Arabidopsis thaliana: one gene and its partners. The protein of the gene in region 4 interacts with the protein of the main gene of each other region in a pairwise test. Each region holds a gene or a part of one and is shown on either strand. Other genes may lie near its edges.

The links.
Region 1: the proteins of PIN3 (region 4) and SAL1 interact in a protein complementation assay, tested with the Arabidopsis thaliana proteins (one study listed by BioGRID).
Region 2: the proteins of PIN3 (region 4) and FYPP1 interact in a protein complementation assay, tested with the Arabidopsis thaliana proteins (one study listed by BioGRID).
Region 3: the proteins of PIN3 (region 4) and FYPP3 interact in a protein complementation assay, tested with the Arabidopsis thaliana proteins (one study listed by BioGRID).

The regions. Positions count from the first base shown.
Region 1 is NC_003076.8:25,607,335-25,613,902, forward strand, and holds SAL1 (SAL1 phosphatase-like protein), read left to right. Parts: upstream 1-2,667; coding exon 2,668-2,733; intron 2,734-2,959; coding exon 2,960-3,035; intron 3,036-3,141; coding exon 3,142-3,215; intron 3,216-3,312; coding exon 3,313-3,518; intron 3,519-3,637; coding exon 3,638-3,953; intron 3,954-4,044; coding exon 4,045-4,198; intron 4,199-4,298; coding exon 4,299-4,468; downstream 4,469-6,568. Other genes in the region: RGLG3 (Copine (Calcium-dependent phospholipid-binding protein) family), read right to left, coding at 22-172, 288-406, 484-589, 667-844, 924-1,037, 1,123-1,263, 1,350-1,434, 1,514-1,582; AT5G63990 (Inositol monophosphatase family protein), read left to right, coding at 6,053-6,118, 6,539-6,568. UniProt on the Arabidopsis thaliana protein: Phosphatase that converts adenosine 3'-phosphate 5'-phosphosulfate (PAPS) to adenosine 5'-phosphosulfate (APS) and 3'(2')-phosphoadenosine 5'-phosphate (PAP) to AMP. May regulate the flux of sulfur in the sulfur-activation pathway by converting PAPS to APS.
Region 2 is NC_003070.9:18,655,059-18,663,588, forward strand, and holds FYPP1 (Calcineurin-like metallo-phosphoesterase superfamily protein), read left to right. Parts: upstream 1-3,449; 5' UTR 3,450-3,835; coding exon 3,836-3,916; intron 3,917-4,366; coding exon 4,367-4,513; intron 4,514-4,598; coding exon 4,599-4,666; intron 4,667-4,882; coding exon 4,883-4,940; intron 4,941-5,299; coding exon 5,300-5,410; intron 5,411-5,522; coding exon 5,523-5,573; intron 5,574-5,678; coding exon 5,679-5,822; intron 5,823-5,919; coding exon 5,920-6,015; intron 6,016-6,104; coding exon 6,105-6,176; intron 6,177-6,530; coding exon 6,531-6,614; 3' UTR 6,615-6,994; downstream 6,995-8,530. Other genes in the region: VIIIA (P-loop containing nucleoside triphosphate hydrolases superfamily protein), read left to right, coding at 1-25, 217-422, 549-684, 771-900, 986-1,132, 1,236-1,303, 1,392-2,048; AT1G50380 (Prolyl oligopeptidase family protein), read left to right, coding at 7,224-7,593, 7,741-8,024, 8,126-8,320. UniProt on the Arabidopsis thaliana protein: Catalytic subunit of protein phosphatase 6 (PP6). Dephosphorylates phosphorylated phytochromes, with a preference toward Pfr forms.
Region 3 is NC_003074.8:6,958,466-6,966,852, forward strand, and holds FYPP3 (flower-specific, phytochrome-associated protein phosphatase 3), read left to right. Parts: upstream 1-3,270; 5' UTR 3,271-3,542; coding exon 3,543-3,623; intron 3,624-3,909; coding exon 3,910-4,056; intron 4,057-4,143; coding exon 4,144-4,211; intron 4,212-4,452; coding exon 4,453-4,510; intron 4,511-4,998; coding exon 4,999-5,109; intron 5,110-5,192; coding exon 5,193-5,243; intron 5,244-5,348; coding exon 5,349-5,492; intron 5,493-5,582; coding exon 5,583-5,678; intron 5,679-5,771; coding exon 5,772-5,843; intron 5,844-6,212; coding exon 6,213-6,296; 3' UTR 6,297-6,741; downstream 6,742-8,387. Other genes in the region: AT3G19970 (alpha/beta-Hydrolases superfamily protein), read left to right, coding at 1,179-1,915, 2,004-2,109, 2,281-2,471, 2,632-2,902; AT3G19990 (E3 ubiquitin-protein ligase), read left to right, coding at 7,131-8,114, 8,269-8,387. UniProt on the Arabidopsis thaliana protein: Catalytic subunit of protein phosphatase 6 (PP6). Dephosphorylates phosphorylated phytochromes, with a preference toward Pfr forms.
Region 4 is NC_003070.9:26,739,944-26,748,412, reverse strand, and holds PIN3 (Auxin efflux carrier family protein), read right to left. Parts: upstream 5,474-8,469; 5' UTR 5,244-5,473; coding exon 4,013-5,243; intron 3,938-4,012; coding exon 3,634-3,937; intron 3,554-3,633; coding exon 3,468-3,553; intron 3,032-3,467; coding exon 2,874-3,031; intron 2,789-2,873; coding exon 2,712-2,788; intron 2,609-2,711; coding exon 2,542-2,608; 3' UTR 1,944-2,541; downstream 1-1,943. UniProt on the Arabidopsis thaliana protein: Acts as a component of the auxin efflux carrier; this activity is enhanced when activated by PID-mediated phosphorylation. Seems to be involved in the lateral auxin transport system.

The DNA of each region.
Region 1 (6,568 bases), on a different chromosome or scaffold from region 4:
CAGAAATAATAGAGTATTTACCGGCACTGTGGAAGGAGCGAGTCTGTCACTTTTCTCTGCAGTTTCTGTCATCTGATTTGGCACCGATCTAACAGCATTGTCACGCTCTATAACCTCTGGTGGTGGCGGGAGTGGCTTGTGGTGCTGATGGGAACTGCGCACTGGTTTTCTACTGTTCATAAGCACAATCAAAGGTTGGTTTAGTTGGCAAAGAATCTAATGCAATAAGACCATAAACAGTGAGTGATACAAGTAGTTTCCAACGGTAAATTTTTTATTGCATTTACTTGAGACTTAATGTAGCCTTGTATTGAAAAGGGATCTCCATGAGAGCTGCGAGTGCGAAAGCAGCCTCCTTCTTAGCCGCATCTTTGTGCTCTGACATTATCTTCGTGAAGTTTACAAACTGTGGAACAAAACACAGTTTTTCATGATTCATGTTTCAGGAACAAAACAGAGCTATTCAGGGTTTTATTATATTACCTGGAAGTTATCGAATTCACGGTGAGGAATATTGTCATCGAATTGTTTCATTGTGTCCCATGGTCCATCTCCTACTCCAACCAAGACTATCGACAATGGGTAATGGCTGGAAAATTTATATCAAACATCATTAGTATACATATGAAGTCTGATCATGAATATGAGCTTATTGAATAGTTTTACCTCGCTGCCATTATCGAGTTCATAGTAGCTTCTTCCTGTGGACTAAGTCGACCAAGCGGCACATCTGGATTTCTTGTGACCTGACCATCTGCGATAATGACGAGAACATGGTATTGCATATTGTTCTGCTCAACTATGTTGATGGCAGCATCAATAACCGGTGCAAACGAGGTAGGACCTGTGAGGGAAGAATACACTGATTAATCTTTACGATAAGAGAGAACAAAACTGCTCCATTTTTGAAAGTTCAAAAATACCGGACAACTTCAAATGTGGGACAATCTCTCTATATCTTTTAACTGCGTTTTCCAATCCGTCGCAGCTTTTGTTCTCGGGATAAAAGCTGAATACATATTGATCTCGCGTTGTTACTGCAGGAAGAAGAAAACATAAAACCATTAAGAACTTTGGTTTATCTTATTCATTCATCTTGAAAGCAAGAAATAAGAAACTAACCATCGCCAAAACCGAAACAAGGTATAAGATCATCTTCATCAAAGGGAGACAAAGTACGACCAATAATCGATATTGCTTTCTCATATGGATTCTGTCTTTTACCAATGGCATGAAGGCTTTTTCTATTGAATGAATATCTCCCTGCAATGAAAATTCAGAACATTAACCAAAACCATTGAATCTTTTCGTAAACATGTGTAGCATTTTTTATCAAATCAAATAATTACCTGTCCACTCATTGCTCTTGGTAAAGTCAATTCCTAGAATCAGATTTGAAGATTCAAGTCCAGCTTCTCTCAGAGAAGTTATCACCTAAAAAGCAAAGTTCACAAGAAATTCATCACTATGAAAGAGACTAAAATCAAGAAATAACTAAGTAAGTTTATGAGACCTGATCCAAACTGCTGAAATGATCAGCAATATACGAAGGTTGCTGATTACGTTTATTGCTCATGTTCATTGAAAAAACCCTGCAGCACAAGAACCTTCAGAAATCCAATCTTTGGAGAAGAAACCAATCAAAATCAAGAATAAAAGATACAGTTACACAAGTGGCAAGTATATATCAACCTGGAGTTTGTTGAAAACACAAAAGACTTCTCGGAATCTTTCTTGTAAGAAAAAACTTTTGTTGGAGATTATCTTCTGTAGGAAGATTAAATTATTAAAAAGATGGCACAAAAGAGAAATATGAACATATAAAAATACTTTAGCAGAAAAAAATGAACATATAAAACTATAGAAAGTGGGTTTTGTTGAATCTTGAAAGTTAGTGGAACGTGACCCTTTGCTTGCGCCGGCAAATAATCAAAACGTATTTTGCTCTCTCACACGCCATCATCAATCTAGAAATCTTTTTTAGTCTTGTCTCTGCGTCATTAATGATTTATCCATAACCCAAAATCATAGACCAAATTTCAACATGATTCATGTGGACAACGTGGCAAAGCTGTAGCTCTTGTCTGAAGAAAATTATTTGGGCTTTTGATTCCCTCAAAATATATTAACCCAGAACCGTTTTTATTGGGCTTCTTCATTCATCAAGAAGCCTTTTTGTATCTTCACCACCTATAAATTCACTTATGTTTCAACCACAACATCCACGTGCGATTAGCCCAAAACTCAACAACCAATCTACGAAGATCACTAAAGTTTTTTATTTTTATGATTTTCACCGTTTGTACTTGTTCTTTCAATTGGTGCCACATGGACCCCTAAACCAACAGAGCAAATATGGCCTTTCTTGATCTAAAATAAAGTTTAGGGTTTAAGTTCAGAGAATAAATAAGTACACTGGTGTAAATGGGAAATTCAAAAAAGTAATAATAATTGTCTCTGCAATCAGAAAATGTGAAGACATATATTTATCTTCTTGAAAAGCGAATGATGTCTATAAATTGTTTTCGAACAGCGAAGGCTCCGCTTCAATCATTTGTAGCAGTAAGAACGAATTCGAGACCTAGAAATTCATCGAACCGTCTCGTTTCTGTATTCGGACGCAAGTCTTCTTCTCCTTCATTTGTTACTCTCAGAGTTGTTTCATCGATGGCTTACGAGAAAGAGCTTGATGCTGCTAAGAAAGCTGCTTCACTCGCTGCTCGTCTCTGTCAGGTTAGGGTTTTTTCGATTCAATCATGACCCATAGATTCTAAAGTTTGATTCTTTAAGAAACCCATTTTGTAAATCTTCCAAATTTCGTTTAACATTTTGTGTTTATTGTGCATTGCATCTGTAATTGGGAATAGATTCTAGTGATATAGTGTAATGGTCCTCTACATACGAAGCTCGTGTAAATCTTTGATCAAAATCTTATCTTTGTGTTTTGGGTTTGTTTCAGAAAGTTCAAAAGGCTTTGTTGCAATCAGATGTGCAATCAAAATCTGATAAAAGTCCAGTGACCGTTGCTGATTATGGTTAGTTTGTTATACCTGTCCCTGATTAGAAAAAGCTCTTCTCTTTGAATGTTACTGAGATTGTTAGGAAATCACTTAATTTGATCTGTCTTGTGTTGAATTTCAGGTTCACAAGCAGTTGTTAGTTTAGTCTTAGAAAAAGAGCTCAGTTCTGAACCCTTTTCATTGGTGGCTGAAGAGGTGAAACTGCTTAATAAATCCTTGTTAGATGTCTCACACTTTACTTATCTTTGAGTTTGTGTTTATGGACTCACATTGTCTAAAATGATCTATATAGGACTCAGGCGATCTACGCAAGGATGGTTCTCAGGATACTCTGGAGCGCATCACAAAACTCGTGAACGACACTTTGGCTACCGAGGAATCGTTTAATGGCTCTACTTTGTCTACTGATGATCTACTTAGAGCCATTGACTGTGGAACATCTGAAGGTGGTCCAAATGGTCGACACTGGGTCTTGGATCCAATTGATGGCACTAAAGGGTACGTTTTAAAACTAACTAGCCTAAAGTCAAATCTTCTTATTTCAGAGAAAATGTAAATTTGATAGAATGTTGAGTCAGATGTTATGTTCCTGACACTGAGCATTTTCATGATTTTAGATTTCTGAGGGGAGATCAATACGCAGTAGCACTAGGATTGCTCGAGGAAGGGAAAGTAGTTTTAGGTGTGCTTGCTTGTCCAAACTTGCCGTTAGCATCCATAGCAGGAAACAACAAGAACAAATCTTCGTCAGACGAAATTGGATGCCTCTTCTTTGCTACAATTGGTTCAGGGACATATATGCAGCTCCTAGATTCAAAATCTTCTCCTGTAAAAGTGCAAGTCTCTAGTGTTGAGAATCCTGAAGAGGCATCGTTCTTCGAGTCATTCGAAGGAGCTCACTCTCTACATGACTTATCCAGCTCCATTGCCAATGTAAATTGCTTCTTTCCTTCCATGTGATTCCAGCTAATAGCTAACTAATTTTCCTCATCCATTTGATCATGTTCTATGTTGTAATATACAGAAACTCGGTGTCAAAGCTCCACCAGTCCGTATTGATAGCCAAGCAAAGTATGGAGCTTTATCAAGAGGAGATGGAGCTATATACTTACGGTTTCCTCATAAAGGATACCGCGAAAAGATTTGGGACCATGTCGCTGGTGCTATAGTTGTTACAGGTAACATTAAAGCTTACTCTCTATGAAGCTAATTTTATAGTGTCGACATGCGGATGTAAATAGATAAGGAATGCAAGGTTGATTCTTCTTTTTGGTGCAGAGGCGGGTGGAATAGTGACAGATGCAGCAGGAAAGCCACTGGATTTCTCGAAAGGGAAGTATCTTGATTTGGACACAGGCATTATCGTTGCTAACGAGAAGCTAATGCCTCTGCTTTTGAAAGCAGTTCGTGACTCCATAGCTGAGCAAGAGAAAGCTTCAGCTCTCTGATTTGTTTTTTTCTCTCGTACGTTCTTTGTTTCTCTGTAACTGTTGTTTCATTTTCTTTCACCGAATTTCACCAGTGAGAATTTCTTCCATTTTCGAAAAAGAAATAAAAATGAAATTCTGTTTTGGGCTAAGTATAAAGGGTTATGTAGAGAATTTAATATGGACCAGTAACGGGCCGTAAAAAGGCCTTTTAAGGGTTACATGCATGATGCACCGACGTACGTGTCTACAGTGCGTAGATACTTTATCTTAATACGAAAGTAAGCGCGTTAAGTAGAAAATCTCTTCATATAGAAATAATTAATATGGTGTAAATAGTTTTTTTTTTTCTTTGGTTATAGTATAACTAAAATATTATTGTGTACCATCTTACAAAAAAATATATATTATTGTGCAACTTTTAGAAATTCGTGATTTTATTCCCAATAATATCCCATTCACGATGAAAGGAATCGTTGAGACTTTGTAAATAATTAAATGTAGTCTAGTGATCTAGTCAAACTTTATAAAGGGGCGATCACAAATCTACTAGTCGCACAATTTTTTTTAATCTTTTCATGTGAATAATATATACTAGCTGCTTTGTTTTTAATCCATGTTACAAAGATATTTTGTGTTAATAATGATAAGTTGTTGATATAACACACAATAACCTGTTTTCAGCGAAAGATTTGACAAGACCTGGCCACACAAAAGGTACACACGTCATTTACAATATCTATAAAAGCAATTTGCAATATAATTTAATTAAGATTAGCATACCTCTAATTATTAATTTAGTAAGCTAGTATAAAAGAAGAGGGAAAAAGGAAGAAGAAGCATATAACCTCTTTGGAATAAAAGCATATCAGAAAAGACTAAACAAATACAACGAACCCAAAATAATTTAATTAGAAAGTTGAGAATCATATACTATTTCTTGCCAAACATAAAATTAATCAGGATTGTTATCTTCACCTACAAAAAGAAAGCAAACTTACCGAAATTACATATATATTACTAAATAAAATATAAAAATCTGAATTCATATAAAATGAAATATCTCTCTCTAAGAAAATATCTTCCTATTGGACCAATTCATTCTTGGATTGTTTACATGTATTTATGTTTTCCTCATTTGGATTATAGCAGTTTTGCAATATGCCATCTGAAATCTGCAGAGTATTCTAATAATAATAAAACTTTTTAAAATGTACAAAATTATAAAATAAAAATAAAACTATTAATTAAAAAATAGTATAAAATTTTGGTGAGTATAATAAACAAAATAAAGAGAGGAATGAGACAACGTGAGAGAAACTTATCATTGTCGCAACGGTAGGGGACTCTATACTTTGCCTACTTTTCCACAACGGTAGAGAGATTGGCAAATAAATACATTTTAAATACCAAAAACCAAACTATATTCAATCAACTAATTATTATTTTATTAGTATTACGTATATTTCTAAATCAAAATAAAAATTGGGAAGAGAAGTTGCTTCAGAGTCGCGAGAGGTTTTTCCATTCATATCATAAAAATCGATTCTTTCAGAGATTTTCTTCTTCAACTTCGTGGTACTCTTTTGCTTTACCCATTTTTCAATGTCTTACGATGAGATGCTTTCTGCTGCGAAGAAAGCTGTTTCTCTCGCTGCTCGTCTCAGCAACGTACGATCACTCGTTTCTTCCGTCTTTTGGATCATCACATGATTGATTCTCTGCGATTTCTCGATTTACATTTTAAACCATAAATTCTTCTCTTTTTTCTTCTTCTTATTGCTCGTTGACATTTGCGATACGTGTTCGAGGAGAGTTAGATGTTTTCTTTGAACTCTTTTGTGGAGTTAAATGTGTAGACTTTTTCTTCTTGTTTCCTGTAAATTGTCAACTGATATGAGTATTTTCGAATTAGGATGTGAAAATCTGAGATTTTTTATTTATGAAAAAATATGAAATGGGGATCTAGCTAGACGTGACTGAAATCTTCGATCTTGTTATCTCTTCGGTTTCAATGTTTATAGGAATTGGGTTTTTGTTTTGTATTTTAGTCAGATTATAACAAGTGAAATTGATTTGCTTTTTTTCCAGGAAGTGAGGAAATCTCTGTTGGTAACTGAC
Region 2 (8,530 bases), 8.1 Mb from region 4:
ACTGAGTGTAGCAACTAAATTTAAGGTTGGGTGATTTCCTTAAACACAGCTTGCTTCTATTTCTGCTCTTAAAATTTGTTGAGGGTTTACTCATCACAGCTTTCATCTCATCAACATATGTTGTCCATTTCTTGTCCAAAAGGCTTCTGCTTACTTTAGAAGGAAACGTCATCTTATAATATTTGATTAGTGACGATGCCGGGATATTTTTTTCAGGGTCAACTTTTCCAATTGATGCAACGTCTAGGGAACACTACCCCACATTTTATTCGCTGCATAAAGCCAAACAATGTTCAGTCTGCCGGGTTGTATGAGCAAGGACTTGTCTTACAGCAGCTAAGATGTTGTGGTGTCCTAGAGGTCGTTCGAATATCCCGGTCTGGATTTCCCACGAGAATGTTTCATCATAAATTTGCCCGAAGGTAACAACTCCATCTCCAGTTGGTGCACTTTCATTGTATTGCATGTCCTCTTATAATAGGCTTCCCATACTTTTTAGTTGCAATAATGTTGAATGGTCATGCTGTTTTTCTTTTGTCATACTTTAGGTATGGTTTCCTTCTGCTGGAGAACATTGCAGCAAAAGATCCTCTAAGTGTTTCGGTTGCAATTCTCCATCAGTTTAATATCTTGCCAGAGATGTACCAAGTTGGCTACACAAAATTGTTTTTCAGAACTGGCCAGGTACTATAACTAGTCGTCTGATGTCTTGACTTTAGGGGCCACAAATTAGACATTCTTACTGCAGTATACTTGCTTCACCATTGCAGATTGGGGTTCTTGAAGATACAAGGAATCGCACTCTGCATGGCATTTTACGTCTTCAAAGTTATTTTAGAGGGCACCAAGCTCGCTGTCGTCTAAAAGAGCTTAAAACCGGAATTACTATTCTTCAATCATGTATTGCCCCTTGTCTCATTTCAATATCTTGGTTTGTATTTGTTATGTCGTTAGAAACCATACCTCACACATCCTTCTGTTTCAGTTGTTCGTGGAGAAAAGATGAGAAAGGAATACACGGAGTTACTGCAGAGGCATCGAGCTTCTGCTGCTATACAAAGCCATGTTAAGAGAAGGATTGCTAGCCAACAGTATAAAGCCACAGTTGATGCATCTGCTGTAATACAATCAGGTAAAATAGGGTTGATTAATTCTCATGATTGAAACAAATTAAACCTCAAAATATATTTTTAAAAAATAGAAGTTTCAAGAAATGCTGAAACCTTTTTCTGTAGCAATTCGTGGAGAGCTGGTTAGAAGATGTGCGGGGGATATTGGATGGCTTAGTTCTGGTGGCACCAAGGTCCTCTCAAAGCTTTCATTCTCTTCGTGCATTTGACTACATGATATATATGCATATTGCTAGACTCTTAAACCAATTCTTTATGTAGAGAAATGAGTCAGACGAGGTGCTAGTGAAGGCATCATATCTTTCCGATCTTCAGCGTAGGGTTCTTAGAACCGAAGCTGCTCTTCGTGAGAAAGAAGAGGAGAACGACATCCTCCGACAAAGAGTCCAGCAGTACGATAACCGGTGGTCTGAATATGAAACAAAGATGAAATCCATGGAAGAAATTTGGCAAAAGCAGATGAAATCTTTGCAATCCAGTCTTTCCATCGCAAAGAAAAGCCTAGAGGTTGAGGACTCAGCGAGAAACTCGGATGCATCGGTGAATGCAAGCGATGCAACAGATTTAGATTCAGGAGGTAGTCATTACCAAATGGGCCATGGCAGGTCAAGAAGTGTAGGCGTGGGTTTAAGCGTGATAAGCCGGTTAGCTGAGGAATTTGGACAAAGAGCTCAGGTATTTGGTGACGACAGAAAGTTCTTGATGGAAGTGAAATCTGGTCAGGTGGAAGCAAACTTGAATCCGGACCGGGAGCTACGAAGGCTGAAACAGATGTTTGAGACATGGAAGAAAGATTATGGAGGGAGACTAAGGGAAACGAAACTGATACTTAGCAAACTTGGGAGTGAAGAAACAGGTGGTTCAGCGGAGAAGGTGAAGATGAATTGGTGGGGGAGGTTGAGGAGTACTAGGTATTAATGGTTACTTCCTTTTCTTGAGACGCACGTCTCCTTTTCTACACGTTTGATGTAACTACGGTTTTTGGCTTTGCTGCTAGAAGTGAGAAGGCTCCTTGGGACTGAAAGAGTCATGTTTTTCATTTGCCACCCAAATCTATTGGCAAATTCAGTAAATAATTTTTATATTATACAGTATATCTATTTGTCAAGGATTCCAAAGTCCAGTGAACCATTGCTGTATTTGAATATAAATAGTCGTTGCAAAAACAAATCAATATTTATATTTCTTAAATAGTTAAGTTTTTTATCAAGCTAATTAAAATGGACATAGCGAGAAATAACTACAAGGTGGTAAACTATGATAATAATATAAATTTCCTTACAAGTTTGTTTGTTTGTAAACATATGGAGTTAGAAAGGGAAAAAAAAATTGTATAGATTTTATACAAGATTGTTTTGAGTTTAAAAAATCTTTATCGTGTTTGGACAATGTGTATTTTAAAAACTATTTAACTACTAGTTTTTTTGGCCGATTTCAGTGATATCTCGACTTAGACTCTACAAAAATTTAGATAATTTGATGGATAAAATTACATATGATAAATCATGCACTTGTATCAGATGGTCAGTTGGTGGAATCCCTCTTCAACAAGTGATCTTTCTTGGAATGTTGTCGTGGGTTAAAAAAAAACTCAATCCAGCCCAAACCCGAAATGAACATGTCTGAGAAAAATCATTTCTATTCTTGCAGCTGAGTAAACTCTTCACAATTTAAATTTCGAATTACCTTTGCGATGCATCACTTTTTTAAGTGGAACTAAGTTTCGGATCACCTCTCGACCAAGTATAAACCAAACCAACACCAATATATACTTTCCGTAATATTTGGCCCTCCGACTAGTGATTTTTTCGGATGTAATTTGAACATTGGAGATTTTTTGGTGAGACAAATTCCATTTTGTCATTTTTAGAGGTCATCATAACAATACTTTTCCTTCTCAAATTATCCCTAACCAGAAGCCAAATGGGAAGACCCAAACATAAACATTGAAATGAATCGAGTGAGGTTCGCTCTTGAACGATCGTATTGCTAATGCCTATCCAAGATCATTGATTCATTTCTAACATATCCCGTACGGTCTCCCACAAACAACCTTCCTCAAAAGTTCAACATCACATAGATTTCGAAATGTGTCTTTAGACACAATTTGTTTAACAAGACTTTTAAATAATTTTTTTTAGGAGTTTTTAATTATCAAAAAGGTCTTACTCAAATTCAACAACACATATATCGAAATGTGTTTTTTTAAAAAAATTAAAAAGAAGAAAAAATACTATAAAGAAGGTTTAAGTATTTGTGGAATTTTATTTAGGTGTTATCAATTGTCACATTCAAGTAGACAAATAAAATTACCAAGAAAAGAATTGCAAAAACATTGAAAATGTGTAGTATACTCCATTAAAGATTTGTGTAATGAAGTAATAGATAAAAATTAAATTGATGTTTAATATGTTGCCAAAAAAATGATTAAAAATAAATATCCAACGAATAGAGTTTGGGGATGGAGGAAGACCAAATCGGGTTCGGGTCGAGATTGTTTGGTTCGTTGTGTTTCCCCTTTCTCTCTCTCTCCCTCTTTCCCCCTTACGTAACCCTAAGCGGACGGAGCAATGCTCTGCTAGATCTATCTTTCTTTCAATTCTTCACCAGAGATCGTCGAGACTCACCATTGAAATCGAAGAAACAGCACCAATTTCCACTTCACCACCGAAAGAGAGAGACAGAGAGGATAATAAAAGGCCGCCATGGATTTAGATCAATGGATTTCCAAGGTTAAAGACGGCCAACATCTCTCTGAGGACGAGCTTCAACTTCTCTGCGAATACGTACGCCTTCTTCTTCTTTCTTCTTTCTTCTCTTGCTTGCTTTCTCTTCCCCGAATATTCATGCATCTACAAAAACCCAATTCTTCGCTTACTCTTTTGAGACTTTAGAGCTTGCTTTGTGGCACTTTACTTTGAATCTGGTCTCTCTCCCTTACTGTTTCCTTTGCCATTTTGGTCTACGGATTTTAGGGTTTTTCTCTCATTTTTCCAATAGAGGATTTATTGACTTTGCTATTTCAATTCTAAATTCTAAGGAATTAGGGATAAGTTTAGCTCTTCTTTAGCCAATTTATGGATGCACCAAGTCCACGCTTGCAAACTGTTATTTGAGGATTTATTATAGTAATTTTAGTGTTGAAACTTGTAGTAGCAGCCGTCTTCTTCTTTTTTCATGACAATGATTTGCTAAGATACTCTGGTAATTCACAAGATATTTTGACTATTATATAGGTGAAAGAAATTCTTATTGAGGAATCAAATGTACAACCTGTCAACAGTCCTGTCACCGTCTGTGGTGATATCCATGGCCAGTTTCATGATCTTATGAAACTTTTCCAGACCGGAGGTCATGTTCCCGAGACCAATTACATATTTATGGTATAGACTCTGACTTTGGGCGTAGGCTCGTATGACATATCAATATGTAACACATAGTTTAATTATCTGTGGGGGATTTTCTCAGGGGGATTTCGTTGATAGAGGTTACAACAGTCTTGAAGTTTTCACCATTCTTTTGCTTCTTAAAGCAAGGTAAGATTTTCCGTAGAAATTGTGCGTTATATATGTCATGGATCGTCATCCTTCCGTTTCACACTGTATATCATAGTTCTCTTGAGAATGCTCTTTAAGCTGTAAACGCATTGCTCTACTGGAAAATCGATTTAACTTGTATTCCAGGAAATTTATATTCTAACTTACTTTGCTGTGAGCTTAAAATCACTCGTTTCCTTGTATTTCAATATGTAGACATCCAGCCAATATCACTCTTTTGCGTGGAAATCATGAAAGTAGACAGCTAACTCAGGTATGCATTATTCTAATCCATTTATATCTATTGTTGCTGACTTGCTGTGCTCTTCACGCAGTTACTGGTTGAGAAGTAATTTTCGCTCAATTGTTATAACTAGTTTTGAAAGTTTATTTTGTACATGTGGCAATGCCATGCTAGATATAGGCATAGATGTTAACTAAGATGCATTTTATGTGAACCCTTTGCAACCATAAGTTTTCTTCTCGGAAGCTCTTGATTTATCTCTATCCTACACCATATCCTATATCTTTTAACATCCACTGTCAAGGACGAAGATTGTAGTGATATTTTGTGCCCTGCAGGTTCATTTTTATAGTTTTCTTAAATTGTCGTACCAATTTTATATTTGCTAGGTGTATGGTTTCTATGACGAATGCCAAAGGAAGTATGGTAATGCTAATGCTTGGAGATATTGCACGGATGTTTTTGACTATCTTACACTTTCAGCTATTATAGATGGCACTGTAAGTATTTCTCAGCTTCTTTGGCATTGTGTTATGATGTGTTCTTGTATAATTTTATGAATGCATAAGTTAGCTGTATACCATATTAAAACGTATTGCATCCTCAATGTAGGTTCTATGTGTTCATGGTGGCCTTTCACCTGATGTACGGACAATTGACCAGGTTAAAATGTGCTATTTTAAATTACTTTTGGTTTTCACCATGCAAGTGTTATTTATGATTAGATTAAATCTCATTTACTCATTTAGATGTTATTTTGTTCTCTAGATAAGATTGATTGAGCGGAATTGCGAAATACCGCATGAAGGACCCTTCTGTGATCTTATGTGGAGTGATCCTGAAGATATTGAAACATGGGCTGTCAGTCCACGTGGAGCTGGTTGGCTTTTCGGGTCCAGGGTTACCACTGAGGTATTTATATTTTTTTCTGGGGTTGAAATTTGAATAAGGTGTGAAAAGAAATAAATGTATTTCAGTTCCCTGATCTGTGGTTTTGCTTCTTGTGCAGTTTAACCATATTAACAATCTTGATCTAGTATGTCGCGCTCACCAGCTTGTACAAGAAGGTCTCAAGTACATGTTCCAAGATAAAGGTCTTGTAACTGTAAGTGCCTTGCTTCCTTATGATCATTTTGGATAGTTGGAAGTATAATCTGCTTGGTGATGTTTCTTCTCTTTATTTTTTTTGTAAAGGTGTGGTCTGCGCCTAATTACTGCTACCGTTGTGGGAATGTGGCTTCTATATTGAGTTTCAATGACAACATGGTGAGGCATTTGTTTTCTCTTTTGTTACTGATCTGCCACAATATCTTGTTTCATGTTCTTCTTACTTTTATGCACTCGTCTTCGGATTCTACTTTTCCTTTTTGATTAAATAAGTTACTGCCTTTGATACTTGTCTCTCGACCCAAACATATACACATGAGTGACTCTTGTGAGATAGAGTTATGATGTTTAAGCCATTTATTTAGTAACAATTCACAGTTCGCGTGGAATCAGTCTGTCCATATTGATTGTGCTCTGTGTGTTACTTTTCATATATAGACCTGTTTCTGGGAAGTGTTTAGGATCTGGTCCTCACTGACAGTAATGATTTGTTAAAATATGCTTAATTACCAGGAAAGGGAAGTGAAGTTCTTCACGGAGACAGAAGAGAACAATCAAATGAGAGGGCCAAGGACAGGTGTTCCTTATTTCCTGTGATTCATGATGATGATCCTACATCATTATTAGTCTCGTATTGCTCTTATCAAGTTAGCCATTATCATGATTGCCATTGGCTTATGTTCTTTCAAGGTATATCTTCTGATGTTGTTTACACTTCCATTGTTTTTTTTTTCCTTTTTCCATTTTGGAAACATTTTCTTGTGAAAGTGAATGTCACTTTGGTAATTTTAGTGGTTTTGATGCACTTTAACCTGAACCTCTTCTGGATGTTATTATTATACGTGCTTTCTTTCTTGTTTTGTTTCATCTTTGTTCTGTAAGCAAGACCAATTTTTATCATCTCAGCTTATTTGCAGTTTAGCACGGTTTGATTAGGTTCTGGGTTAATCTCAGGCTTATAAAATTCATCAAGCTCAAAAATAGTCCACTACAAGAACATAGAAGACCATTAATCAACATTCAACAGTAATTTGTTTCTAATCTAATTATTTGGTTTTGTTCAATAATCCTAGCAAAAATTCACGAAAGAGTTAATAATTTTGTAACCGGAATCATAGATAGGCCGGTTTATCCAAACCGGATATGACCTGTCCTCTATTAACAAACTGGTCGCGAGTCTCTAGGCAACTAAAACGGACACGTAATATGATAATAAGGCGTGGACTCGTATCTCTCGGCACTCACTTTCTCGCGACTCGTAGTCGTCTTCTCCACTTCGATACTCCTCTCTCTTGCCTCGTTCCTCTTGTTCCTCGCCGCCGCTCTATTCTACGGCTGTCTTCTTCTTTTTCCTCTTCCTCTGAAACCGGAGCTGCGTCAGTGCGGTTGACATCACCGAGAGACATGGCGGAATCGAGATCCCCTCCTGTAGCGAAGAAGGTGGAGCATGTGATGGAGATGTTCGGTGACGTTAGGGTTGACAATTACTACTGGCTCCGTGACGATTCTCGCACCAATCCCGACATGCTTTCTTATCTTCGTGAAGAAAATCACTACACTGATTTCGTCATGTCTGGTGAGTCTTTTCAAGTTGCCTCTGTCAGTGACGTTGTGATACTTAGGGGATTAGGGTTTTTAGCTTTCCTTGTTTTCAATTTGGAGTATTAGTGACTTGTTGATTATGCAAGCTTGTGATAAATTAGACTGGAAAATAAAAATTCAGGGACCAAGCAATTTGAGAATCAGCTGTTTGCTGAAATAAGAGGGAGGATCAAAGAAGATGATATATCTGCACCTCTACGCAAGGGTCCTTACTATTATTATGAGAAAAATCTTCAAGGAAAGGAATATATTCAGCACTGTAGACGTTTGATCACTGACAACAAAGCTGAGCCTTCTGTCTATGATACTATGCCAACTGGTCCAGATGCTCCTCCTGAGCATGTGATATTGGATGAGAATACCAAGGCTCAAGAGCATGACTACTACAGAATTGGGGCCTTCAAGGTTTGACTAGAAAATAGACTTTAAAAATCGTCCTAAGAGATATCCTTTTCAAACTTGCTCTTTACTAACTTGATGTTTCATTTTCTTGATTCTTTTTATAGGCGAGTCCCGATCATAAATTGGTGGCATATGCAGAGGACACAAAAGGTGATGAGATATATACAGTGAATGTCATCGACTCTGAAGCCCTAAAACCAGTGGGGCAACAGCTTAAAGGACTTACTTCTTATCTTGAATGGGCTGGTAATGATGCTTTGCTCTACATAACAATGGACGAAATCCTGCGACCTGATAAGGTTTACCTTCAATCTTTTCCCACCCTACTGTCTTAGTGTATAGTACTGGAGGAAGGGATTAACTTTTGCATGAATATAGATTTTACCGTTTCGATCAATTGTTGACATTATACACCTCATAGATGCCATATTTTCTTACCAAATTTGACTGTACTTATTATGAGATACGTCAATATTTTTGGCTTTCATGTTCTGATCTTCATATATTCT
Region 3 (8,387 bases), on a different chromosome or scaffold from region 4:
GCAAAACATCTAAGTATCTAACACACATAAGAAATATATCAAGATAAGAAAAAATGTCCGTATGACAGCAAATAAGTTGTCTTATTTTGAACCCATACTTAAATGGTATGGCTTTCTCTAGTTCGGTTCTTTATTTGAAGGCAGTAGTATATAATAAACATTATCATTTCTGTTTTTTTTTTGGGGTCATACAATAAAAATTGTGTTTCTTTTTTGCCCTAAACCAAAAATTTCATCTCTCTTTTCCCTCTTCCCGTCTCTATCTCTCTGGTGAGTTTTTCTTCTCTCCTTTCTCCAATTCGTATTTTCTCTCAGATTCTTCAATTGTACGTTGATTAATCTTCTGAAATTCGATTATTTATCGCACCCAATTTATACGCGGTTTTGGATTCTGGGGGAAAAAATGAGTTTTTTGGTTTCGGTCGGTTTATCATTGTCTTATTCGGTGCCTCTTCTCCCGTAGAATGGGAAGGTCGCCATCGCCACGTCGTGTTGCATTTCTTTTCGGGAGAAATTTATGCCATTGATTTTAGCTCTTTTAGGCTTTTTCTTAGTTTTTGGGAAAATTCTTGTGGTGGGTCCTTTGCAAATCTGGGGATTCAATCTCTTTTTTTTTCATTGTTCCATAGGTTTTTGAGGATACAAAATTTCATTGTTCATAGGTTTTTCTCATGATTTCTGGGGGAAGAGAATAAATAATTCCATCTATAAAAATCATCTTTTTTTCATTGTTGGAGGTGGGATCCTCATATGATTTTAGAGATCAAATAATAGAAGAGAAGAGAAAAGCTTGTTTCTTTTCCCCTTTGTGTCAACATCATACGAAATCGTTTCTTTTAGTATCAAGCTTCAAAGAGATGTTTTGACTTGAAACGATTGTTGTCTTGCAGAGAAGCGTTTTTTCGGTGGAGAGAAAGAGAGATTTGACTCTGTCAAGTTATTAGTACATTGAGGTCGGGCTGTCAAAACTTGACAGCCCGAGTTTGAAGCTTCCAGGTAATTTACACCATGTCCTTACAATCTTGGACTCTTACACGCGTTTTAAACATGTGTGTTTGTTTATGTTTGTGTGTCTATACTTATTACAAATCTATCTCATCTTATATAACAGGACTCTTTTTCTATTAATGAGATTGGTATGCTAGATTTGGAGTGTATTGGATTAGATTGTGGCGATCATGGGTTCTTTGTCTGGGATCATTCAACGGCCACTTGTTGCTGCTGCTGCTGTGATTACAGCTTCTGTGTCTGCAGATGTCTCTGAGAGGTTCTCATCTCTTAGATCACTAGTTCGAGGTTCTGAATCAGAGCAGATTGCTCCTTCAGTGTCTGGTTTAGTTCAGGAAGAAAGGTCCTTGTGGGTTTCTCAAGTCTCGGCCTCCAAGCTTGCAGATTTATCTTTTGTGTCGAGGATTTGTGTTCCTGTACCAAATGTTGATCTCCTAGCTTCTAATCCTAGCTGTAGTCTCGCTACTTCTGTTACTTCTCTGTCCGCTCTTCGTAGTGTTTATCAGTCTGCAGAGTTGGCTAAAGCATCGAAACCGGTTGCATTCACAATCGGTGCCTCACTTGTGGTTCCTGATATTTCCTACAGATGGCATTTACCTGAGCCTAGTGCAGTCGATATGTCTGGTTCTTCGAGTTGTGTGTCTGAAAAGAATAGAACTGTTGTGGTTTTGCTTGGATGGCTTGGATCAAAGCAGAAGCATCTGAAGAAATATGCTGATTGGTACACTTCAAAGGGTTACCATGTCATTACATTTACTCTTCCGATGAATGAGATTATGAGTTATCAAGTTGGAGGGAAAGCAGAGAAGAACATCGAGTCGCTGGTTAATCACTTGGCTGATTGGTTGGATGAAGAGCAAAAGAAAAATCTCGTCTTTCACACCTTCAGCAACACCGGGTGGTTAACGTGAGTTTAATATCTCTGTTTTTTTCATGTGCTTACATAGTTACATGGCGGTTTTACATTTTACTAAGCGAGTTTCTCATCTATGCAGATATGGAGCCATTTTGGAAAAGTTTCAGAAGCAAGATTCATCATTGATGGGAAGAGTTAAAGGTTGCATAGTGGACTCAGCTCCTGTTGCTGCTGCAGATCCTACGGTAAGCGATGATTCTTGCATTCATAGCCATGTTTATATGGTCATTTGGCTTGTGCTAAATCATAGGCTTGGATACCTGATTTGCTAGACGCTGATGGGTGCTATTCTTTTTATAGATTTCTGCACTATTCGCTTGAACTTTCTGGATACTAATTTGGCTTTGTTAAAACAGGTATGGGCATCAGGTTTCTCAGCTGCGTTCTTGAAGAAAAGCAGTGTAGCCACTAAAGGATCTGCGAGCTCATCATATGAGTCAAACGGTATAAACATCTCCCAGCCTAAACCCGCTGCAACAGAAACAGCTTTGCTTTTGGTTCTTGAAAAGTTCTTTGCGGTGATTCTAAATCTTCCCAAAGTAAACAGGTAACATACAATAAAACTCCGCGTTTCGTCACTCATTCTTTTACCCAAATCCTATGATTTCACACTAACAAATGCGGGCAATCATATCTCTTCACTCATTCTTGTCACCCATATCCTATGATTTCACACTAACAAATGCGTGCAATCATATTTTTAACAGGAGACTTGCCGATGTTCTTGACACATTATCAACAGCACAACCAAGTTGTCCACAGTTATACATTTACAGCTCTGCAGACAGAGTTATACCGGTGGAACAAGTTGAATCATTCATTGTAGAGCAGAGGAAAGCAGGACATGAGGTCCGTGCTTGCAACTTCATATCTTCACCTCATGTAGACCATTTCCGGAGTAACCCAGAACTGTATACAGCTGAGCTCAACCATTTCATGAACAACTTTGTCCTTTCTTGCTGCCACCATTCTTCATAGCGACTTCCACAAGTGTTGTTGTTGCTAACCATTTTTGGGGTCCTTTTAACTCTTATACAAGAAAGAGAAAAATAGTTACTGATTGATGATTCTTTTTGGTTTGGATTGGTTTATAGATTCAAATTCATTATTCCTTTGTAAATTGTTGGATATTGTACATTTAGGAGAATGAAGATTCAAGAAAGTGACGTCCTTGTCCTTTGTAGTGGAGATTTGGATCTTATGGTTGTCTTTTGTTATTTGTTCAAAGAGGGTTGTTAAGAACCCAATCATAAAGTTTTTGGCAATTCTCATAATTTTTAGAAGTATGAGGGATCACAATCGTATTTCTTATGAGACGCTGGTTCGTCAACGATTGCGTTTTGACAAACGCAAAAGTTTGATTTGCGTTGGAAGCGGCAGAGATCGATCTGGGATCTTTTTTTCTTTTTGCCGTATGTGTCATTTTGTGAAACTCGAACCTCTCATTCTCTCTTTCATCTCCTCCTCTTACGTAACCCTAACGAAGTCGAAGATTCTCTGGTAGATCTATCTCGATTCGATTCGATTCCTCTTTTTTCCCAGAAAAGTCGCTATTGAAATCGAACGAAAGTGTTGAAGATTTTACCAGTCAGAGGTATATATATATAGAGAGAGAGTTATGGATTTGGATCAATGGATTTCCAAGGTTAAAGATGGTCAGCATCTCTCCGAAGACGAGCTTCAGCTTCTCTGCGAATACGTACGCCTTCTTCTTCTTCTTCTTCTTACTTGATTTCTTCTCTTGGTCGATTAAGCTTCTTGTGCTCTTCTCTGCTTGGTTTGATCTGTATTTATATACCTTAGTGGAACGTGACTTCGATCTGGTCTGTAGTGATTTTAGGATTTTTCTTTCTTTTCAACTATGGAGGCATCAATTTTGTAGTTTAGATACCATTTTATGGTCTCCTTTCTCAGCGATTGATTTATAGATTTGCGAAGATGAATCATGGTGTTAACCAGAAGATGTTTATCATAATGTTATACAGGTGAAAGAGATTCTGATTGAGGAGTCAAACGTACAGCCTGTAAACAGTCCAGTCACCGTATGTGGTGATATCCATGGCCAGTTTCATGATCTTATGAAGCTTTTTCAGACCGGAGGTCATGTTCCCGACACCAATTACATTTTTATGGTACCGAGTTTTCTTTTGTGGTGTCTTGTATGACATATTGATATGAAATTATGAATACAATCATAATCTGGTGTGGGAAATTCGCAGGGGGACTTCGTGGATAGAGGTTACAACAGCCTTGAAGTCTTCACTATTCTTTTACTTCTTAAAGCTAGGTAAGGTGCTCATAAATGTTCTGGAGATTCCTGTTATCATTGAATCTTTGCCTTTAAGTTTTTTTTTGTTCGTGCTTAATACGAACTTATTGTTTATTAAGCAATTAATCTTGATAATTATTTATCTTTCTTTGGAAGAAATAGTCCCAGTAACGTATTGCATTCAAAATTAGTCCAAACGAGAATGATATTGTTTCTTTAGCATCTCATGTTTCTCTGTTCTTTGTATTCTAATATGTAGATATCCAGCCAATATTACACTTTTGCGCGGAAATCATGAAAGTAGGCAGCTAACGCAGGTATGTGTTATTCTGTTCCACTTATATCTATTATTCTGCTTTTCACGCTGTTCCTAGGAGGTAAGCAATGTTGATTATCTTCTCGTTGTTACAGCAGGGTTTTGAAAGTTCTGATTTTGTACTACATGTGGCAATGTCATGTCAGATGTAGACATCGATGTTAGCTAAGATGCATTTTATGTGAATCAAGTATTGGAAAGCTAATTTCAGAAGGTGCTTCATATAGTACCAGTCTCCTTTTTAGCATGTGTGTAATCCTTAGTGTTCTAGTTGATACATAGGTTTTTAAGGAAGAAAGTGTGGTGATAATTTTGTATTTGAATGCATTCCTGGCAAACCTTTACTAAGACTTAGTCTGCAATCATACCTCTTAAAGTGCAATTCAAATATGCATTTCGTGAATCTGCTGACTAGATGATCAAAATTATACATGGATTCTCGACATTGAACTCCTTTATAACACAGAACCATTTGATTTACTTTTTTAGGTGTATGGTTTCTATGACGAATGCCAGAGGAAGTATGGTAACGCTAATGCGTGGCGATATTGCACAGATGTTTTTGACTATCTTACCCTGTCAGCTATTATAGATGGCACAGTAAGTGATTTCTTAGCAACTTGGCATTGTTGATGAGAACACATATAGCTGTATGTTATACTAAAATAGTTTGCTTTGTCTAGGTTCTATGTGTTCACGGTGGCCTTTCCCCGGATGTCCGGACAATTGATCAGGTTAAACTCTGCTTTTATTGCTTGTGGCTTTCACCCGTCAATTATGCTTCTAGCTTGGCATGTTATTAAGGTCCTCCACTCACATAGATTTGCTGTGGGCTCTAGATAAGACTGATCGAGCGAAATTGCGAAATTCCTCATGAAGGGCCCTTTTGCGATCTTATGTGGAGTGATCCTGAAGATATTGAAACATGGGCGGTTAGTCCACGTGGAGCTGGTTGGCTTTTCGGATCCAGGGTTACCACTGAGGTATGTTTACTTTCTCAAAAGCTTGAATTGATACTGTAACTAAGAAATTAATTTCACATCTCTGATCTTTGGTTCTGGCTTCTTGTGCAGTTTAACCATATCAACAAGCTGGATCTAGTATGCCGCGCGCACCAACTTGTACAAGAAGGTCTTAAGTACATGTTCCAAGATAAAGGCCTTGTAACTGTGAGTGTCCTGCTTCTAATGAATTGATATTTTTTATTAGTGGGCGTTTTGAAACTCTGCTTAGTGATTGTTAATTTTGTTTTGTTTGTGAAGGTATGGTCTGCACCTAATTACTGTTACCGCTGTGGGAATGTCGCTTCTATATTGAGTTTCAATGACAACATGGTGAGCCTCTCTTAGTCTTTCCTAAATGAATACTCTAATCTTCTCTGTCAGCAAGAAGGGATTCTATTACTTCAGTGATTTTAATCATTTCTTTTAAGATTCTACTCTATCAAAATATGTACACTCTTGTTGATTTGCTATGTGCCTCTTTGAATTAATGGATCTAGGAAGATTATAGAAAGTAATTTAGAGAATTTAAATCAAGTAAGCCATGTGCAATGAGGTTTGAATATCTGTGTGAGCCATAGATTCTGTTTCTGCATTTGTAGTGGATTTTCATTGACCATAGATTCAAGCTGTCTGTGCTACTAGGATCCTCCTTCCTGCATGGGTTAGTGATGAAATCGATTGAAATGTTTGTATTACCAGGAAAGGGAAGTGAAGTTCTTCACAGAGACAGAAGAGAACAATCAAATGAGAGGGCCAAGGACTGGAGTTCCGTATTTCCTATGAAGAATCACACTTATTATATTTGCTGTGATGATGAAGCCATTGCTGCCATTGGCAATATGTTCAGTTCAATGTGGAAAAGGTTAATATATGATTATATATATTATCTACTGATGGGTTTCGCTTACTATCATTATTTTTGTCCTTTAGGTTACATTTCCCTTGTGAAAGTTACAAGTCAAACACTTTGGTAATAGTCTTAGTCATTTTGATTCTCTGCTCTCTTTTCTTTCCCCCAATCTTTCTTCTGTAATGTTATTTTTTTCATTGTTCACTTGTACTGTTTCCTCTGTTTTTGTTGTTGTTGTTGTGAAGATGACATTAATTCTAAAATAATCAAACATCGTTACAAATGGGACAGTATCGCAACAATAAATGAATACCTGTCGGTCTCGAGCTATTCAATCATTTCATTCGGCTTTTGGTGTGTTGCCTTTCAGATCTATGATACAGATTGTTGTCTCAAGTAATGGAGAGAGGGGTAGTCCTTACAATAAAAAAAAAAAGTTATTATATGCAGTCATGAATGTGGTAAAAAGAATTGCAATTTTTAGTTTGTAATTTTCAGTTAATTAATCTTCACTATATAACTACACTCCTATGAGTTGCTCAGTGAGTTGCATGCTTGTATGATTTAAAATTAATAGTAACTCTTTTTATTACAAAACAGTGAAACACTATGAGAAGTGGGGGAGTTCAGTTCTTGTTCTGTTTGCCGATGAACATCAATGTTGCTTGGTCATCTAATAGAGGGAAATCATAAAATATTAACCTGGTGGTCCTGGTCAATGGTTTTTTTAAAAGAGTCATTGTTTAAGTCTTTTTTTTTTTTTTTTAATGCTAATAAAAAGGTTTAATCCTCCATGCTGGAGAAGCGATCATCATCAACCGAAAGAGAGTAATAGAGACAAAATGGGTTCATCATCATCTCCATCCCCGAACGACGCCGTACTGGAATCAGCCCGACCTTTTCTCCGAGGAGAGCTTGAAAAGATCGACCCCAAACTCCCGTCGTTAATCGCCGTCCTCAAAAGCGTCGGTGCCGGCGAGTGTTGGCACAAACACGGAAGCTTCCTAGATCACTTAATCGATATCTACAAGATCCTCAAGCTATGGAAAGCTCCTGAATCCGTCTGTCTCTGTGGTCTATTCCACTCTGCTTACTCCAATTCCTATGTCAATTTAGCTATTTTCGATCCTTCCACTGGTCGTGACGTCGTCCGTGATCACGTCGGTGAAGCTGCCGAGTCGTTGATCCATCTCTTCTGCGTTGTACCGAGACAAACTCTGATTCACGATGAGCTTTTGTTTAAGTACTCTGATTGTGAGCTCGTTGAGCATCTTGATTGTTCTGAGGTTTCGTTGAGGAACGCAAAGGAGAAAGGGATTTTTGATGGAGATGAAGAGTGGAGGAAGAAGATTAATGCTTTGGTTCCTGAGAACGGTGTTGTTGTGAAGCATATCAAGACAGGTGAAGAAATCGTTGTTTCGAGGAGAGTTGTTGGTGTTTTCTTGTTAATGACAATGGCGGATTTTAGTGATCAGCTTTTTGGGTTCCAAGATGAGTTGTTCTGTAATCATGATGGGAGACTTGAGTTTAGAGGGAACAACGTGACTGCGTTGTGGCCTGGGAATGGGAAGCCTGGACTGTGGATGAATTCTAATTCGAGAATGGGAGCGATTTATAGTTTGATTGTGAGAGAAGAGGAGATTTTGATGGAAGAGAGGAGAAGGGCTTTTGGTTCTGGGTTTGAAGTGAGGAAGGAAAGAGATGAGGATATAGATCTTGTCGTGCCTCCAGTTTTCAGCTTCTGCACCAAGGTATTCTTAGTTAGCTAAATTGGTTCTGTCTCATGTCATGATCATTGGTGTTCCGGTGTCTAGGATTGTATCTTCTTTAATTTAGTAGCTTTCACACTTATTGGTAGTGGTAGGTAACTATAGTGTCTTGATAGCTTCATATGTAATGGACCAGGTATTGGATGCAAAAGAGCAGATAGAAGCAAGGGAGATGTACTGGGAAGTTGTGAGCAGTGACACAAGCAAAGAAGGGTACTTGGAGAGAGCAGAGGAGAGATTGTTGGGTTGTATTGA
Region 4 (8,469 bases):
ATTTCAAACATTAGACTCCTACTTTTGTAACCCTTCCCTCTTTGAGAATGACTAGTAATTATAAATGTTGTGCAAAAAAAAAAAAAAAAACTACTAGTTTTCTTACACGTTCAAGTTATATTGTTTTATTGTGAACTTTATAGGAAATTAAACAACGAATATTCGAAAACCATTAGCGCGTTTAGTGTACATATGGTCTTTCAGAACTTGCTCCTCAAACACACATCTCAGTATCTCACACGTACTATAAGTCTATAAACCGATCTTGGTCCATGTATGTTTCTTGCTCGAAAATGACAATATTTTTTCCCGTCTTCATATTTGTTATATGTCATGTTACCTACCATATTTTGATTGTGATATGTGAAAACTGATAGTGGTTCTGTTTGCATTATACATTTTTCATCTGAAAAACTGACATTATAAATACCGTTCTCTTTGAAACAAAATCATTTAAATTATATTTAGTTTACGTATAAAGTTTGTATAATTTTTTAATATATTAGTCATATGGCTTATATAGTCCATAAACTACACACAATATTCATATATACGTGTACTTCGCTCTCCCTTACAAAAATAAAAATAAAAATTTTACAATTTTATAGGAGATTCAATTAACATGCATCGATTTTTGTCACGATAATATATCACCGAGACAATCCCCTTCTATCGAGAATCCAAAATACTTAAACGAATTAACGATGCTACCGATAAATGTTTCTGATTCCGTGACGAATTTTCGATAATAACAAAAAATCCATTGGCTAAAATTAAACAACGAGAGTTATAATTATACTAACTGATTGAAATGGAGGTGCACGGAGCCCATTACAGGTTTTGTGCGACGCATGTTGGTCTAATGAGACCTCTTAAATAGAGACACTTGCTAATCTTGATAATCAATTTAATTATAGATTAGCCGACCAGTTTTTTAGGTCGTGACGGTGGATTAACGGCTTTAAGACTTCTTTCGATTTGCGTCCCATTATGTTCCCATCCAATGCGACAACACATTCAATTGGTACTCGGAGCCCAATCAACGAGTTATCCACTAATTACTTACTTAATCATATTAAACCCTCATTAGTGAATACTGAATACTGTTATCGTTTTACGCCAGGATTGAGTGTATAAACCACAGGTTTCGATTCTTTGTCGTTCTTCGTCGTTTTGTTAATGTTAATTTTTTTTGTAGATTTTAATTGTTCCGCTACTTATATTTTTTTGTAATTTATGTCGAAATTTCAAAAGTAGTATAAATATTCCATATTTTATCCAAAAAAAAAGAAGTTGGAATACTTTTCATGTTTTCATAATCAGAGTGGTGTTTTCTTAGATTAATTAATTTATCAACAAAATCTGCAAAACTTCTATATTTTTTAGTTTAAATTTTATTAGTAATTAAAACTAATATGACATAAAATTAAGATTCCATTGTCTCAAATACAAAAACAATTAAAAAAAAAATTGGGGGCAAACACAAAAATATTTCATTGTTAAACATACTTTATATCCAACAAACGCATGGTTAACTATACTTCAAATATTAGGAAGGAAAAATCGGCCCGCAACACGAGAAAAAATGGCGGAAAACTCTGATAAACTACATTAATAAAAACTAAACACGGTCGTTTTCAGTCAATTTGCTTATATCCATTTTTTACTTTGTTGACAGAAAAAAAAATACTCTACTTTCTTAAAAAATCAATTTCGAAAGAGAGAAAACAAATAAAGAAATGAAAAGGAGCTTTTTATTAAACTTTAGACAAAGCTTTTTTGACTTTTAATTATCTTTTTGCCTTTTCTTTATCTTTTTGTTTTTAAATAATTATTGTTCATCATCCCTACACACACTACATGGACTATTAATTACATCACTACCAGCTTAAACTAATGATAACACGAAATGCTTTCAGTGCCAAAGCGCCTAACCCAATTCTCCCACTACGACTCTCATCATTTACTACAGCAGAAAAGAATCAGTAAAGCCACCAAATTTGATCACAATAGTACTAATTAAGAATAATAATATAAACTGTTTACTTTTAAAGCGTTATTTGCTCATGTGAAACTGGAACAAGGGAATATTCAAAATCAAAACCACACTTTTCTTCGCTAAAAAAAATCTACACAATAATCAACTAAGAGTTACCCGAACCTAATCAAAGAACACAAAAAAAAAAAAAAAAAGACTGTGTAAGAAAAATAAAAGTTACAAAAATAATAAGTTGTCTTCATCTTCCAATCTTTTATTTATCTTTTCTTTGTCTCGTTGCCCCATGTTTTGCTCCTCCTTATCTGCGTCCCATTGTCTCACTCAAATAATCTCCCAATATTCTATATATAAAAAATATGGGAGAAGAAAGGGTTTCTTGGCTTGTAATGTTGGCATCAGCATTCCTTAAATCATGCTACTCCCTAGTTGTACTTACATACTCTAAGCTTTTTTTAGTTTGTTCCATGAGACACTCTCTAGTTTCCCTTTCTTCCTTCTCCCTCTACAATTGACTCTTTCTCGGGGCTTTCATAACCGAAAGCTTATAACCCGAGTAGAATGTAGTAAACCAGCGTGATCGGAAGCGCTATAAGCATTCCAAATATTACCCTGAAAAGTCATTCAAGTTATCACAATGTTAAATGTTATTGAAAGGATTGCATTAGTAATCATATATGCTAATGGAATAATTATCATAAAATCTTTGACTTACCCTGTACTTAAAATAGCAGGATGAACATTGTACTCCTTCGCAAACACAAAGGGCACAATTCCTTGAGGTAATGCGGCCTAAAAAACCATACCAAAACATTTTCACATTTTTCATATTACACCAAAAATAGTTTTAACCAAAAAAAGAGAGAGAAAATTTTACCTGAACTATAGCGACACGCAGTAAATCACCACGTAATCCGATGGCTATAGCAGCAACCGCCATCACGGCCGGACCCGTAAGGAACCTAACCGCCATGGCAAACGTTGCCACTGAATTCCCACAAGCGATTAATTTGGGTTGCAACGCCATGAACAACCCTTCACGATTATTTCACATAAAGTTTAATTTCAAAATCAGGTAATCAATAAAATTTTATATATCTAGAATAAATCCAATAAAGTCCCATAAAAATGGGGACCATGACGACTATCAACAACACGAGACCATGTCGTCCACCATTACCATTTATCTAATAAGACACTCACAACATAGCCCCACCTGTCGGATGGTCCATCCCCAATTTTTTGTTTTTCATAATATAAATCACAATGACAAAAACAGCATATAAATTTATGAACTACCTAATTTAATTCCATTGTTATGTAAATGAGTTAATATGTCAACGAAATATGCAAAATTTAGAAATTTTCCGTGACAAGTAAGACGTTTGGTATGAATCATATTTATTCATTTAAATGGCTTCAAAACTAAAATTTCGAGAGGAATAAAAACAGAGTACGAAGAAAGACTTACCCAAACTAAACATTGCCATTCCAAGACCAGCATCAGATAGAATGGAGATAGATTGTTGAATGATTTTGGGCATTGCCACGTGCCACCTTCAATTCAAAAACCGGAATAAATTTCCCGATAACCGGTTGGTTCGAGTTAAGAAAACAATTAATTTTGATTTACTAACCGGAAAGCGACGAGAGCCCAAATAAGTCCAATGAGACTAGAGTAAGTGTTTGGGTTTCTGATGAGTTTCCTCCAAACCATTATCAGTATCAGCCTTGTCATCACACTCGCCGGAGGCATATTTTTTCGTTGACTTGCTTCGGCTCCTCCTAGACCTGTCTTGGATTGTAGCGCCGCCGTGGAATTTGGAGCAAGTTTGTTTAGACCATTCTCGGCGTCTTTTGGTCTCTCTGCTTCTTCTTCTTTTCCGGCGAAACTAAATTGTTGTTCTCCTCCGAAATCTCCACTTGCTGGATGAGCTACAGCTATATTCACCACACAAAACAGAATTGAGAAAATTTGCAGTGACTTATCAAGAAAGTTATCTAAAGATTGCTAACCTTTGGTCTCGCCGTTGTGAGATTGATCTGGGACTAACATACGGATCTCTTTAGCACCTTGGTCAGATCTTCCGCCTTGATCGTTGTCAGGTGCTCCGCCGAAAACGTTAAGACCCGCCCGGTCTGAAACGGGTGACCCGTTTGAGCTCCAGACGAACATGTGAAGCTCCTTGGCGTCATGGCTGTTTGACTTGCCGCCCGTTGGAAGAGTCGTCTGCTGATTCGTATTAACGTCTTTCGGGTTTTTATTGACGCTTTTATTGGCGGTAGATGTGGTGGTTGAAGAGAACTCTGGATTCGGAGCCGGATAAGACCCGGCTCCTCCTCCAGGGTAATACCCGAATCTCGGGGAGGATGCCATGGCGCAATTCTCCTCGAAGTTTGAAGGTCGAGGAGTTGGACCTCTAGATGATTGAACGGAGTACATATCCGCCGGACCGAAATTGGAGAGACGACCACCGGGGAAACCCATCATGTTGTAAAAATCAGAGTGGTTGAAATTAGAGCCTCTAGGAGTGGTGCTGAGACTATAAATCTCAGCTCCGGTGAGATTTGACGGCCGTGGAGTCATGTTCGGGCCGCAGAACGAACGACGTGAAGCGTTGGATTTTCTCACGGTGACGTGAAGCTTCCCGTCGTCACCTATCTCTGCATCGGTCTCAAGAAAATCATGGCCGTCGAGCGAAACGACGTCGGATTCGACTTTGAAAGAAACAATGGAAGCAGCCGTCTCAGGGAACTGCTCCATGATGAGCATCTTGGCGCCACGAAACTCGAAGAGAAAAAGGAGAAGCGTGTACCAGATGATACACTGGAGGACGACGATTTGGACCATGAGGGAACCAGAGTATTCGCCATACATGGCGATCAAGAGAGGAATCCCCATAACAAGAGTGTTGGGAAGTGTGGAGAGGGAAAAGATTGTGATGCTCCACTCGAGGCTACCGGAGCGAGTGAAATTAGCCCATAGGACTAAAAGTGACAACATGATGATTTTTTGGAGAGTGTCGGCGGCGATGAACCGGAGATTCATTGCGTAAGGATTGTTGGTGGAGATGAAGTGAAAAGAGAGGAGAGGGACGGCGAAGATGGCGACAAAACGGTTGATTCCGGAGCATTGGTCGGGTGAGAAGATTTTCCACCACCGGACAGAGCCGTAAGCGAGGATCATGGCCACGTAGAGAGGAATCACGGCGGTGAGGACCGTGTAGAGGTCGTGCCATGAGATCATCTTGAAGGGACAAAAATGGAAAACCGTTAAGCAACGGTGTCGGAGGAAGAAGAAGAAGTGAGAGGACTTGGGAGCAGTGTGTGTGTGGAGTGAGCAAGTTTGGTTTTTGAGGATATAATTTAAGGAAGGATGCCACTTTACACCTCTTTATACAGCAAATACGTGACCACCCAAGTTCCTTTTTACTAATTTATTTTATTTTATTTATTCTTTAGTATGTTACATTTTTTATCGATCTTATCAAAAAAATAACAATATAGTTCTTTTCTTTTAAGATATTGTTTATAAGATTTATTATGTTTTTGTTTAATTATTAAATAATATTCTTTTTATTATTATATTGAATAATACATCTCATCATATGGAAAGTTTAAAATAATACAAATTAATGGTTAGAGTGTTTTTCAACATTTTTATATTTTATACTACATAACTAAAATCTAGTATTTTTTGTTCGACTGATTGAAACGGACATATTGTAGATAACAACATACACATAAATAGTCAAATAATTAAAATAACTGATAAATAAGAATATTGTTGAATAATTTCAGTGACATTCATGTGCTTGATTTTTCATTTTTTATGATTCATGAAGATTAAAGTAAAATATGGAAAAATAGAAACTGAGTCTGCCACATTTTTTACTTGTACAAATAGCATCTGAGTTAGATCTTAAGAAGAAGGTCTACATGTGGCACTCTACTTTTGGGGATGGGCATGGCAGAGACATACCTTTTCTCTTCTGTCCCCTAATCTTTGCTTTTCAATATTTTACTTTACCTTTCTTTCACATTCTCTAACTAATCCATTTTCGTAATATGAATAAATCAATATCGATATCAATATTAAACATATGGGTATATTACTAAATTAAAAACTAATATCTTGGTACCCCGGCTAATAATCAAAAAAGCAATAGTTAAATATCAAAAGTATTTGGAAATTCTTTTTATATTTTGTGATGTTTGATAAAACACTTTTTATAAAGTAATCATTAGAAAAATAAGGAGACAAGATGGGCTGGAGACAAAGAAGATCCACTAAGGAATTGGATGGCTCAAATGGAATTTGGCTAATGGCGTCGAGTGTGTCTATGTGTTATTGTTAGGTTTACTTATTTGTCTCGTGAAGTAGGCAACACTCAATTACTCCTTGGACGACATAAATTTTAGCCTATATTCTCATCGTTAAGCTTCTGTCTAATTCCCCTTCATGATATTAGTTAACACGTCGCTTCGGAATTATTTGTTCACATAAACTAAAATCTGAATTTAGTGTAGAGATGATCGGTTTAAACTTTTTAACCAAAACAAAAATTGAGATGAACTGAAATTAGAACTACAGTGGTTAACCTCTAACTAGTGGTTGGAGGCTAGCGGTAAACATATCTTTTTAAATAGATTAATAGAGAAATAAAATTCAAAAATGAATTATCAATGAAATTGATATTAGACATTTATTGATTTGATATTTGAGTTTTAAAATATTATCATCACAATGTAGTACTTATGAGTATAGTTAATATATGTCATTTTTATTTATGAGTTTTACAAAACCAAATAGCTCAATTTATTGTATAAATTTAGTTAATATATCATTAAATCACTTATATAGTAGAAAAAAATATTTTCCTGTATTTTATTCTTATAATTTTTTTTCCCGATATGGGCATTACTACCTTTTTAGTACAGAGCCAAAGTTTCACATGAGTAAATGGCTGAGACAGAGAATGTCGTGACCTTCTTGTGACTTAGTGTTGCTGTATCTTTCTGATTGCATAAAATATTACTTGACACAACTTCCTCGAATAAGTCCAAACATGAATGATTAATTGTGATTTAAGCTAAGATAAAATCTGCCGTCCTTACAAAACCATATTATACACTTTATTCAACTATTTATCATAATCGAATCAACCTATTATTATATCTTAATATTTTCACTCAATTGACATTCAATTAACAAAATAAATAATCCTAGATATCGGCAAAAGATTTAGGGAACTTTTGGAAGCACTTCATATGTCAGCTTAACCATTTCCATTAACTACCAAATTATTCCATCTGTTTAAGTGTTTATATAATTGATAATTCTAGCTAATGTACATAAAGATCTACACAAAAATATACATATTCCACAATAAAGCTAGTACACACAGTGTTGTGCGTATAAGGCTATGACTGAGTGACTCAAAATGTTTATGGCTAAGTTTAAAAATGTGCCCTCTTTTAATTGTTACAAAAATATCATCTAAAATTTTGGTCAAACTTTGAGTTCAATAGAGTACTAAAATATTATTGTAAAGAAAAAGAAGTATTATACAAAACAGAAACTAAAGTACAGTATCATTTAATAAACACACTATATGCAATAAAATTATGTTTGTGGTTAAATAATCAAAGATACACGTGAACAAAAGTATACGGTTTAGCCGTATGAAATAAACACTAAAACACATAAGAATTTGGCAGTTATATATTGATACAAATCAAATGAGTGGTTAAAACTTCGGACGATCAATATTGATTCCAGTTCTTCAAAAGAAGTGGTACGTCGAAGCGATTTAGACAATCTTGAAAGTGAACAATGATGGCTACTGGTGGCTTAAACACGTGATTAAAGAATGTGAAATGTTCATAAACTTTTCAATTTACTCACTCTTAAAGAATGAATAGTTTAAAGTTATCGATCGTCAATTATTGAATATAATCTGGGAAAAAGGCTAAAAGTTATTTAGGAAGTCCAAGAAAGAGAATGACAGATGGGTGTGATTTGTGACCATGAATTTCGACATGTTATAACGTACACGACTGAATCATCTTTGTAATCATAATGATGATGTGATAATATTTTTCAGTGTCGCAAAAGTATCGTTCTAGTGTTATTTTTAGGTTTTGTAAAGAGATATCATCTATAAAAGTTTTTCCGTATATTGCAATGTATGAATTTGAAGTAACGGTAACACAATGCATTTATGTAAAAAAACAATAGATTATGTATGATATATGGTCCACTAATTTTCATATAAAAAACAATTTACAGTTTTATTCAGTTTAAAATACTTCTGAGTTCTTTAAATTACAAGATTAAGAATCAAATAGAGTAATTTGTTTGTTTTTTCCCCCTCTAAACATACCATTTTTATAAACCTTCTCAAGAATTTTTAATATGATTCTCCCTTTCAACAATTGTATGTTTTACTTCAGGGACCTGATTCATGGTT